2 linked regions of the Arabidopsis thaliana genome follow. The protein of the gene in region 1 interacts with the protein of each later gene in a pairwise test. Each region holds a gene or a part of one and is shown on either strand. Other genes may lie near its edges. The genes, in order: AT5G51570 and SEOa.

Region 1 (4,939 bases):
TGTAATGGAACAAACTGTAATACTCCTCCAAAATCTCACCAAGGTGCAATCCTTATTGGTTTGGTTGTCTCGACTATTGCATTGTCTGCTATTAGCATCCTCTTGTTCACGCATTATCGCAGACGCAAACAGAAGCTTTCAACCACTTATGAAATGTCGGACAACCGTCTCAACACCGTAGGAGGAGGTTTTAGGAAGAACAATGGTTCTCCATTGGCCAGTCTTGAATATACTAATGGTTGGGATCCACTTTCAGACAATAGGAATCTCAGTGTCTTTGCTCAAGAAGTTATCCAGAGCTTTCGATTCAATCTTGAAGAGGTTGAAACTGCTACACAGTATTTCTCAGAAGTGAATTTGCTTGGAAGAAGCAACTTCTCTGCGACTTACAAAGGAATCTTGAGAGATGGTTCTGCTGTAGCGATCAAACGGTTTAGTAAAACAAGTTGCAAATCTGAAGAACCTGAGTTCTTGAAAGGACTCAACATGTTGGCGTCTCTGAAACATGAAAACTTGTCAAAACTTAGAGGCTTCTGCTGTTCAAGAGGCCGTGGAGAATGTTTTCTCATCTATGATTTTGCTCCTAATGGAAATTTACTGAGCTATCTTGATCTCAAAGATGGTGATGCGCATGTTCTTGATTGGTCCACGAGAGTATCCATTGCTAAAGGCATCGCAAAAGGTATGAGTTTTATTTATGCCGAACCAATTTTGTTAGCGTTCTTGATTCATTTTTGTTTATGTGTTTGATGTTTTGTGTTTAGGGATTGCTTATCTACATTCATACAAAGGAAGCAAGCCAGCATTGGTTCACCAAAACATCTCAGCGGAGAAAGTTCTAATCGACCAGCGATACAGTCCTCTACTCTCAAACTCAGGCCTCCACACACTTCTCACAAACGACATTGTCTTCTCTGCACTCAAAGACAGTGCAGCAATGGGCTACCTCGCTCCAGAATACACCACAACCGGACGTTTCACCGAGAAAACCGATGTCTACGCTTTCGGGATTCTTGTGTTTCAGATAATCTCCGGGAAACAGAAGGTTAGGCATCTTGTTAAGCTTGGAACTGAAGCTTGTAGGTTCAATGATTACATAGATCCAAATCTTCAAGGAAGATTCTTTGAATATGAAGCCACAAAGCTAGCTAGAATCGCGTGGCTATGCACTCATGAATCTCCCATTGAAAGACCATCCGTGGAAGCTGTAGTTCATGAGCTAGGTAACTGTAGTAGCTGTCTCTGAGAACTCTCTCGAGGCAAATGTGTAATGTGTACCTTAGGAATCAATTAAGGAAGGGTTTGTTAGTCACCTTTTCCTGTGTTTAGGGTTAAGAAAAAGGTGCCTTTTCCCTTCCCATTAACGTTTAAAAACTGTTCAACGTGTTGTACTTTATTGGTTTGTATGATTTGTGTTTATGTTAAGCTCTTCAACCTTAGAAGAAGACAAGACAAGTACATTACTTTTAAAAAATTTCGGTAGATGGAAAATATTTATGGTACTTTGTCTTCTTTTTTTTTTATAACTTTCTGAACCAATTTATTGTCAATAATTCAATATAGAAAAAAAATAACGTATAACATTTTTTTTTCTGATATTGATCAAATCAATATCAAAAGAATTGATTTGTTAGATGGTTTTGATTTAGATTTGGATATGAGCTTTAACTTTTAAGTCTTTATTAGTCATCTAGATCTAGATACAAATTTATAAATATAAAGTCAAAGGTTAACTATTAGCATTGGCCACCAGATTCGAATAATTTACATGATTTTTCTAGACTTCAGGATTAGATTTTGGACCTAGTAAATTTTTAGAATTACTTGAGTTATTTGAAAGAAATAAATTAAATTATTAGTTGTCCACAAAAGACAGAAAAAAATATCAAATTATACTTTTCATTGGTCAAAAAAGGATTATACCAAATATCTAAGGAAGGAAGATATTGTTGATATAGCTAATTAATCAGTAACTAATCCTAACCGTCCATTTCTCCTCAAACCGCTTGATCTAACGGTAGCAAAAGGCTTCGATCACATAACACCATTTGTTTCCATAGAAACGAACGAGTCGTGGAGATTTATAAGCGAGACTTCTTCTTCTTCTTCTTCTTCTTCGAAAGCTTGAGAGTGCTGCGTAAAAATGGGTAATACGTATTGTATCTTAGGAGGTTGTATTGAACAAGCTAGCGTTGGTGTGGTCGAACGTTGGGGTCGATTCGAGCATATAGCTGAACCGGGATGTCATTTCTTCAACCCTCTCGCCGGTCAATGGCTCGCCGGAGTTCTCTCCACTAGGATCAAATCTCTTGATGTCAAAATTGAAACCAAAACTAAGGTTCGTGATCACTTATTCCTTTTGATCCTTTGCGAATTTTGGTTAATACTGTATGTGGTGAGATTCATGTAAATTAGGCTTATTGTCGTTGTTGTTTGTAGGATAATGTGTTTGTGCAGCTGGTTTGTTCGATTCAGTATCGTGTAGTGAAAGCTAGTGCTGATGATGCGTTTTATGAGCTTCAAAACCCTAAAGAGCAGATCCAAGCTTATGTCTTTGATGGTAATTTTTTTGCTTCTCTGTTGATGTTTTTTGTTTCTTTGTTTGAAGAAGCTCTGTTTTGATTCTTGATTTGTTCTTGTATGTTTGTTTTTTGAATCATAGTGGTTAGGGCTTTGGTCCCAATGATGACGCTTGATGCTCTTTTTGAACAAAAGGGTGAAGTTGCCAAGTCTGTTCTTGAGGAGCTTGAGAAGGTATAACATCTTGTTCCTTCACTATCTCATTCATTTGTATGTTTAGAGACTATTTATTCATAATAGGATATAAGATATCTGTTTTGAGATTCTTGATGTTTTGTAGTGATCCTGCATTTGTTGAGCTAACTAATAGGTGGATTATCAAGTAGGCATGTTTGGATTTCATAAAGAAAAGTTACAACGTTAAGTATATGTTTGGTTTTGTTCAAGACTATGTTTTCATTTGTGAGATTCTTGATGTTCTATCGTGATCCTGCATTTGAGATAACTAATGGGTGAATACTGAGTCTTGTGAAGTGTTATCATAGATATGTGTGGATTGCATAGAGAAAAGTAATAACATATATTCGAGGGTAGCCTGCTTTCGAGACTGGTGAAGACTTTTGTAATGGTCATGACTCATGATTGGAGTTGTTTGTTTCTTCAGGTGATGGGTGCTTATGGATACAGCATTGAGCACATTCTAATGGTTGACATTATTCCTGATCCCTCTGTACGCAAGGCAATGAACGAAATCAATGCAGGTAACCTTTATTTCCGATACTGAGGGAATCAGTGTCTGATACTTTTCAGGTCTCTAATGGTTCCCTACACATCAAAGCACAGAAAGATTTATACATTTTATGATTATAGGACTCAGTTAGATGTTTCGTTAAGAGTTTATGCGAAGTTAATTTACAGTTTGTTGACTTCATTTCAATTTTGCTTCTCAAATCCATTCTCTACTTAAATGCAGCACAAAGGCTCCAGCTCGCGAGTGTTTACAAAGGAGAAGCAGAGAAGATTCTCCAAGTGAAGAGAGCCGAAGCAGAAGCGGAAGCCAAGTACTTAGGTGGTGTCGGTGTGGCTAGACAAAGACAAGCAATCACAGACGGATTGAGGGAGAACATATTGAACTTTTCTGACAAAGTAGAAGGCACATCCGCCAAAGAAGTGATGGACTTGATCATGATCACACAGTACTTTGACACTATTAGAGACCTTGGAAACTCGTCAAAGAACACAACGGTGTTTCTCCCACACGGTCCGGGACATGTGAGGGACATCAGCGACCAGATACGCAACGGTATGATGGAGGCGGCCGCTAGTACTCAGGTCAACGACGTCTAGAGAGAGATTCACTTCGGCTTGTGAATTGAATTTGCTACTTTTGCTTTCACTTGACTATGGTTTAAATTATGTTTTACTAGAGTGAATTTGTTGGATTTTGCCTCTATTTTTTTTTCTTTTCTATAATGGTTTTCATGGTGATATTGTTATTATGGTATAGATAATAACCCAAAATACTTGGAACTCTTATGAAGAGGAACATGAGAAAGTTGAGACATATCTTTGTGTTCTTTTTTGTTGAGTCATATTCTCTTTCTTATACCACAAAAGCATGTAATAGTTGGTGATTTGGGGGGTCGTACCTTACACCACCATCGAAAGATTGGATCAAAGCTTGTACTCTTAAAGAAACCACACCGGGAAACACTCGTTGATCTCTAACCATTTTTCTGGATGTTAGTGTTAGTGTTTATATATTTTTAAGGATTAGAGTAGATTCTTTTTCATTAAATCTCAAACCTGTTCTTAAATTTTCAAATACTAGCATGTTTTAGCTTAAACCAGCTGCTTCTTTTGAGGTATAATGACCTTTTGTTTGCCTTAGAGTCTCTCCAACACAGCCATTTTCTCTTGATCATGACAACCATTTTCAAATATCTACGTTACATCAAATAGATCATTAATATTGTTTATAAGTTCACATCTTATTATAGAGGGCCTTTAGCAATGAATTACTTGATGTACTTAGGAGTCTTTCTTTTTTGTATAGGTTAAATGTTGATAACCCAATTTTTCATACAATATTATGTTTTCAAATTATATATATTTTTATATAAAAAAAACCCATAAGTTTTTGTTAAACATTTTATAAATGTAGCATGTCAACAAAACATCATTCTATAATTAACAATCATCTTGTGTAATGAACAATTGTAAATTCATTGTTGAAAGTTGAAACCTATGAATAAAAACAAAATTTATTCACAAATCACAAATGCTTTACTATTAGAGAGATCCTCTGTCCCTGTCAAAAGGTTTCATAGTCCAAGTATATATATATTTACAATGTAGAGTAATAAAATACTTGAATTAACAAAGACCCCATGTGTATTAAAACACTTAGTTGTTAGAA
Region 2 (5,827 bases), on another chromosome or scaffold:
CTAAACTTTATCTTGTTCATAAAATTTCTTTGATTGGATTGTAAGAATTATGTATTTGTCTGTTGGCTTTCTTTGATTTTTCAAGATTCGATTAAACCAAAGTTGATTGCTTAAACACTTTAATTTTGATTTGTTTTGTCGACATAAGCAATGAGAAATAAATGGATGAATAGCCCAATAGAAGCCCATTAGCCTGAAATTGGGCTACAAGCAAACATACCAAATAAATAGTAGGGAAGAGCAGAAATAATCACACCACTCATCAGTTATCCATTCCTTTCTTTTTACATAAATTTTGTCACTTTTTCTACAAACGATTCTTCGCTTCTGTGAAATTTGATAAAGCGAAAGTTTTTTTCTTATGGATTCTCTTCGATTCAACCTCCAACAATCTCCATTTCAATTGAAACCTAGAATTCTCCGACCAAGAATCACCAACATATCAAACCGAATCGATGAAACCGATCCTCGACCATCATCCTCGGCCGGTAGGATCCAAAGGTTAGTACTTAACAACGAAGGTCGGACCAAACTAAACGCCGATCCTGACCGTGAATTCTATTCATATCCACGGTTCGTGAACCACGTAGATGATAGTTTCATATCCTCCTTAACCGAACTATACAGAAACCGGTTGAGACCCGGTTCGACTGTACTTGACTTGATGAGCTCATGGGTCAGCCATCTTCCAGAAGAAGTGAAGTACGAGAAAGTAGTAGGGCATGGTCTTAACGCACAGGAGCTTGCTCGTAACCCTAGACTCGATTACTTCTTCGTCAAGGATCTTAATGAAGATCAGAAGTTCGAGTTCGAAGACAAGTATTTCGACGCTGTTTTGTGTTCTGTTGGTGTACAGTATCTACAACAACCCGAAAAGGTACGTTACCGTAAACCAAAACCGATTTCGGTTATGTCAAGAAGATTCCTAAACCGGGTCTTTATTATATAAACCGCAGGTGTTTGCAGAAGTGTATAGAGTGTTGAAACCGGGAGGAGTGTTGATAGTGAGTTTTAGCAACCGGATGTTTTATGAGAAAGCAATTAGGGTTTGGCGTGATGGAACCGAATACAGTCGGATCCAATTGGTGGTTCAGTACTTTCAGTCTATTGAAGGGTTTACTCAGCCGGAGATCATCCGGCAACAGCCTGGAGCTCAGATATCGGTTTTGACTCGGCTTATGGGTTTTATCGGTTTAGCTTCTACGCCCGATCCTTTTAATGCTGTCATTGCTTATAAAAATTTCAAACCTATTTATGAGTAACACGCACATAAAAAAAAGTGTATAAGAATTGGATGGGAAGTTTTTGAAGAAAAGGAAAAAACCTCTCAACCAAGTCCAGCTGGAGAAACTTACAATACAAATTTTTAAAAAGTGGAGAATGAAATTACAGATTTCAATCAAATTGGAAGAACCTGTATTACACAAGAAATAATTGACAGAAAGATTACACACTTTGGAAAATATAATTAATATATAGTTTTCAATTAGCATGCATTGTATGTGATTCGTTTTGTTCGAAGATTCATGGACAATATCCAAGCAAGGTAGCCTTGTCCCTCTTCAAACGAGTATCACGAGTTGCTTACTTTATGGTTTAGATTCTATAATAACAGTATATATATTAGAAGGAAGTCTTTTATATTAAAACAAAAATCCATTGTATATGTACACTATCTATGTTCCATGCATGTGTCTTCTTAAATAGCTATGAAGTCCCTTATTTTACTATGTACATACTAAATTTAGTTATGTTTATCAGGATAACTCGTTGTACCATCAGTATATAAACTTTGAAATATTAAATGTTTCTCACTACTAGTATTAGACTGTTGCAGTTGCGTTAGAGACGTTTCATATTTAGAAATAATATTATCCAAGACCTGAAATTCTTATTATTATGAAAATTATGAAATATCGATAAGGGAAAAACTGTATGGAAGTGTAAAAGACACCAAAACAGATATTGAACCAAAGGTGAAGCAAAGAAGTTGATTCAAAGTTGCCACTTTATTTAACCTTTTGCACCAGTATATATACACACACATGGATACTAACCCAATCATTCATCACAACACATCAGATCCTTCACCATATATTTCTCTCAACCTCGCCAATATGGCCCAACGCTTTCAATTGAACTCACAAACCCTCCCAACGGCCGACCCTCTCAAAAGGGTCTCCCTTATTCCAAGATCCGCCGAGCAGAGGCTGGCTGATAACGCAGGCGAGAGGCGTCCTTTAGCACCGAGATCTCACGAAGACAACCCCTTTGGGGGTCATACTGATGATCACCATGTTGCTGCTCCTGCGGACCATAATAAGGTGATGGATCATAATAGCGAGAATCTCGGTTCCATTGTCCCTAAGACTGCACATTACCCTCATCCATCTGAGGAAATCCTTGATGCTAATATCCGACATTCGATGGTTCCGAAATCATTGGGTCCCAATTCGCTCGGTGGAAGATTTGGTCCGGGAAAGAAACAAGCTTTCCATAGAAATGGCAGACCCATGTTTTCACTTTCTGATGACCGAGTCATGGCTGATAGAGTCTTGAAGACTCACAGTCCAGACATGATCTTCTTTGATGTCACATCACTTCTCTCCGTTGTTAATGACATCTTCAAGTCTCATGTCCCATCCATTGACTCCTCTGCTCCTAAGGTTTAGTTTACTTGTGCAACAATTAATCCCCATTTCAAATACTGATTTTTACAAGCGTATTAAATTTAAAACTTTTTGCAGCCATCACTCGTCTTCAAGGACTACGCTGATCATACCTCCTTTGAAACTTTTGCGGATCTCATTGATCAAATCTCTTGCGAGGTATATATGAAGCTTTCTTGTTTTAAGTAACGTTTGAGTCAGTATCTAAGTATCAATGTCTCTGACACAGATCGACTGCAAGTGTCTCCATGGCGGTGAGTCTCACGGTATGATGACATCAGGGCTTCATTTGGATAGTCGCAACACGACGACGTTCTCTGTTCTGTCTTTGGTCTCCAAATACCGTTGGGATGCTAAGCTAGTCCTTGTCCTATCTGCTTTGGCCGTGAAATACGGCGTTTTTCTCCTCCTCGCGGAGACACACGCAACAAATCAGCTCACAAAATCTCTGGCTCTCATCAAACAGCTCCCTAGCATCTTCTCCCGGCAGAACGCTCTACACCAGCGTCTCGACAAGACCCGAATTCTGATGCAAGACATGGTTGATCTCACCACTACCATCATCGATATCTATCAACTCCCGCCAAACCACATCACAGCCGCGTTTACCGACCATATCCCCACTGCGGTTTACTGGATTGTTCGCTGTGTTTTGATATGTGTTTCTCACATCAGTGGCGCCAGTGGTTTCAAGCAGGAGTAAGTTGTTTTTCTTTCTGATTTCTAGGGTTTCAAGTAGGAGTAAGTTGAGTATGTGCTTCTCATCTATGTTTTCAGTCAAATCATGTCGTTTATGGAAGTTTCGGAGATACATGAGAATAGCGAAAGGCTTAGGAAGATCAATGCTTACTTGTTAGAACAATTCAAGAAGAGTAAAATGACCATCGGTAACTACGACGTCGTTTTAAGCTCTCTCTCTGTTTCTATATATTTAAGAGTATTTTTATTCCTCTGTTCTCAAGCTCTGTTTTTTTTACTCTGTTACAGAGGAAGGTATAATCGAAGAAGAGTATCAAGAACTCATCCAGACGTTCACTACTATCATTCACGTCGACGTTGTTCCTCCTCTACTTCGTCTTCTCAGACCCATTGATTTTCTTTACCACGGAGCTGGTGTTTCAAAGAGACGCGTAAAACCTCCTTATATCTCTGCATCTGTATATGTCTCTTGTCAGTGACTGATCTGTTTTCAAACATTAACCAGGTCGGGATCAACGTGCTCACCCAAAAGCACGTTCTGCTTCTGATATCAGACCTAGAAAACATCGAAAAAGAGCTCTACATCCTGGAATCGCTCTACACAGAAGCATGGCAGCAGTCATTCGAGATTCTTTGGGTTCCAGTTCAAGATTTCTGGACAGAAGCTGACGATGCCAAGTTCGAGGCCCTTCACATGAACATGAGGTGGTACGTTCTTGGAGAGCCTCGGAAATTAAGACGAGCCGCGATAAGGTTTGTGAGGGAATGGTGGGGTTTCAAGAACAGGCCTATACTCGTTGCACTTGATCCCAAAGGTCAAGTTATGTCAACCAACGCCTTTCCTATGGTCTGGATCTGGCAACCCTTTGCTCACCCTTTTACCACCGCAAGGGAACGTGATCTATGGAGCGAACAGGAGTGGAATCTTGAGTTCTTGATTGATGGCACTGATCCTCATTCCTTAAACCAGGTTTCTTGATTGAATAAAAAAACAGAGTACTAATAAATTTTTCTTTCTCTTGTGTTACACGTAACCTGAAAATCTGTGTGTGTTTCAAATGTTTTTTATCAGCTTGTTGATGGAAAATACATATGTCTCTACGGAGGAGAAGATATGCAATGGATCAAAAACTTCACGAGTCTCTGGCGTAATGTAGCGAAGGCCGCAAACATTCAACTTGAGATGGTTTATGTCGGGAAAAGAAACCCTAAGAATGGAATCCAGCCGATAATCAACACAATCCGGGAGGAAAATCTCAGCCATACTTTGCCGGACTTGTTCCAGATCTGGTTTTTCTGGACCAGGGTCGAGAGCATGTGGGAATCGAAGCAGAGGATGCTGAAAGCCCACGGAATCAAGGGGAGAGAAGGGTTTAAAGAAGAGGAAAAGGACCTTGTTCTGCAAGAAGTGGTTGCTATGTTAGGTTATGGAGGAGAAGGAGATGGATGGGGACTGGTGAGTAAAGCATCGGACATGATGGTTCGAGCCAAAGGGAACTTGTTTTCTAGGGGTTTGGCTGAATTTAACGAATGGGAAGTCAACATCCCCACAAAGGGTTTTCTTACAGCGCTCAATGATCATCTCTTAATGCGTCTCCCACCACATCACTGCACAAGGTTCATGCTTCCTGAGACTGCTGGAATTATACCTAATGAGGTTGAGTGCACCGAGTGCCGTAGGACTATGGAAAAGTATTACTTGTACCAATGCTGCCTTGAGTAAGATCCCATAATACTGGGGAACAAGTTGATTTGGAAGCCAACAACTTGTTCCTATAAAACCAAATAAGTTTGCGTCTTTTTTTTCCTCCTTGTTGTGAGTTTCTCTACTCTTCATGTTGTTGTTGTTGTTCTGCTCTACTAAAAGCAGAGAGTCTTTGTAATAAAATTTGTGTGTTTGAGATTTCGAAATAATAAAGGTTTATTTATCGGAAGCTTCTAGAACAATGAACTGATTGAACATTGCTTCTTTGTTGATTTCTTGATCCTTAAGCTCCTAGAACACTAGTGAACTAATACACAAGTAACACAAGTGACCGTGACATTTTTTTAATGTGACAGTAATATCTTTTGACATTTAGCCTTTTGAAATGAAATTACTTAATGCTAGTAAAATATAGGCAAAGTAAAAGGATGGATCAATCAATCAAAAGATGAACAGTCTTTTGAGTCCAAATCACATATCGTAATATATCTAATAGAAAGTTAAAAGTGTTAGTCTACATTATTGAAAAAATAAACCATGAGACTGATTGCTGTATTACAAAGGGGGAATACAACTTTAAACGACAAATCAGCGGTTCCTAGCCTGTAGTTAATGTAAAAGTTAAATCTTCCAAACCATCAAATACTTTTTAAATATTGCATATATCGGATTCGATTTCGAAGAAGCTCTTATACGTATTTCTAATGATGAGATATTAAAATTTGTTGCGTATAGAAACAACAAATTTAATCCT

Evidence for each region.
Region 2: the proteins of AT5G51570 (region 1) and SEOa interact in a two-hybrid assay, tested with the Arabidopsis thaliana proteins (one large-scale study listed by BioGRID).

Annotation. Positions count from the first base shown.
Region 1 is NC_003076.8:20,947,368-20,952,306, forward strand, and holds AT5G51570 (SPFH/Band 7/PHB domain-containing membrane-associated protein family), read left to right. Parts: upstream 1-1,923; 5' UTR 1,924-2,143; coding exon 2,144-2,338; intron 2,339-2,439; coding exon 2,440-2,560; intron 2,561-2,662; coding exon 2,663-2,754; intron 2,755-3,184; coding exon 3,185-3,281; intron 3,282-3,493; coding exon 3,494-3,867; 3' UTR 3,868-4,145; downstream 4,146-4,939. Other genes in the region: AT5G51560 (Leucine-rich repeat protein kinase family protein), read left to right, coding at 1-682, 765-1,246.
Region 2 is NC_003074.8:245,171-250,997, forward strand, and holds SEOa (sieve element occlusion protein), read left to right. Parts: upstream 1-2,021; 5' UTR 2,022-2,045; coding exon 2,046-2,666; intron 2,667-2,747; coding exon 2,748-2,828; intron 2,829-2,898; coding exon 2,899-3,368; intron 3,369-3,446; coding exon 3,447-3,556; intron 3,557-3,656; coding exon 3,657-3,799; intron 3,800-3,873; coding exon 3,874-4,338; intron 4,339-4,440; coding exon 4,441-5,091; 3' UTR 5,092-5,302; downstream 5,303-5,827. Other genes in the region: AT3G01660 (S-adenosyl-L-methionine-dependent methyltransferases superfamily protein), read left to right, coding at 362-877, 957-1,262. UniProt on the Arabidopsis thaliana protein: Scaffold protein required to form the phloem filament matrix in sieve elements.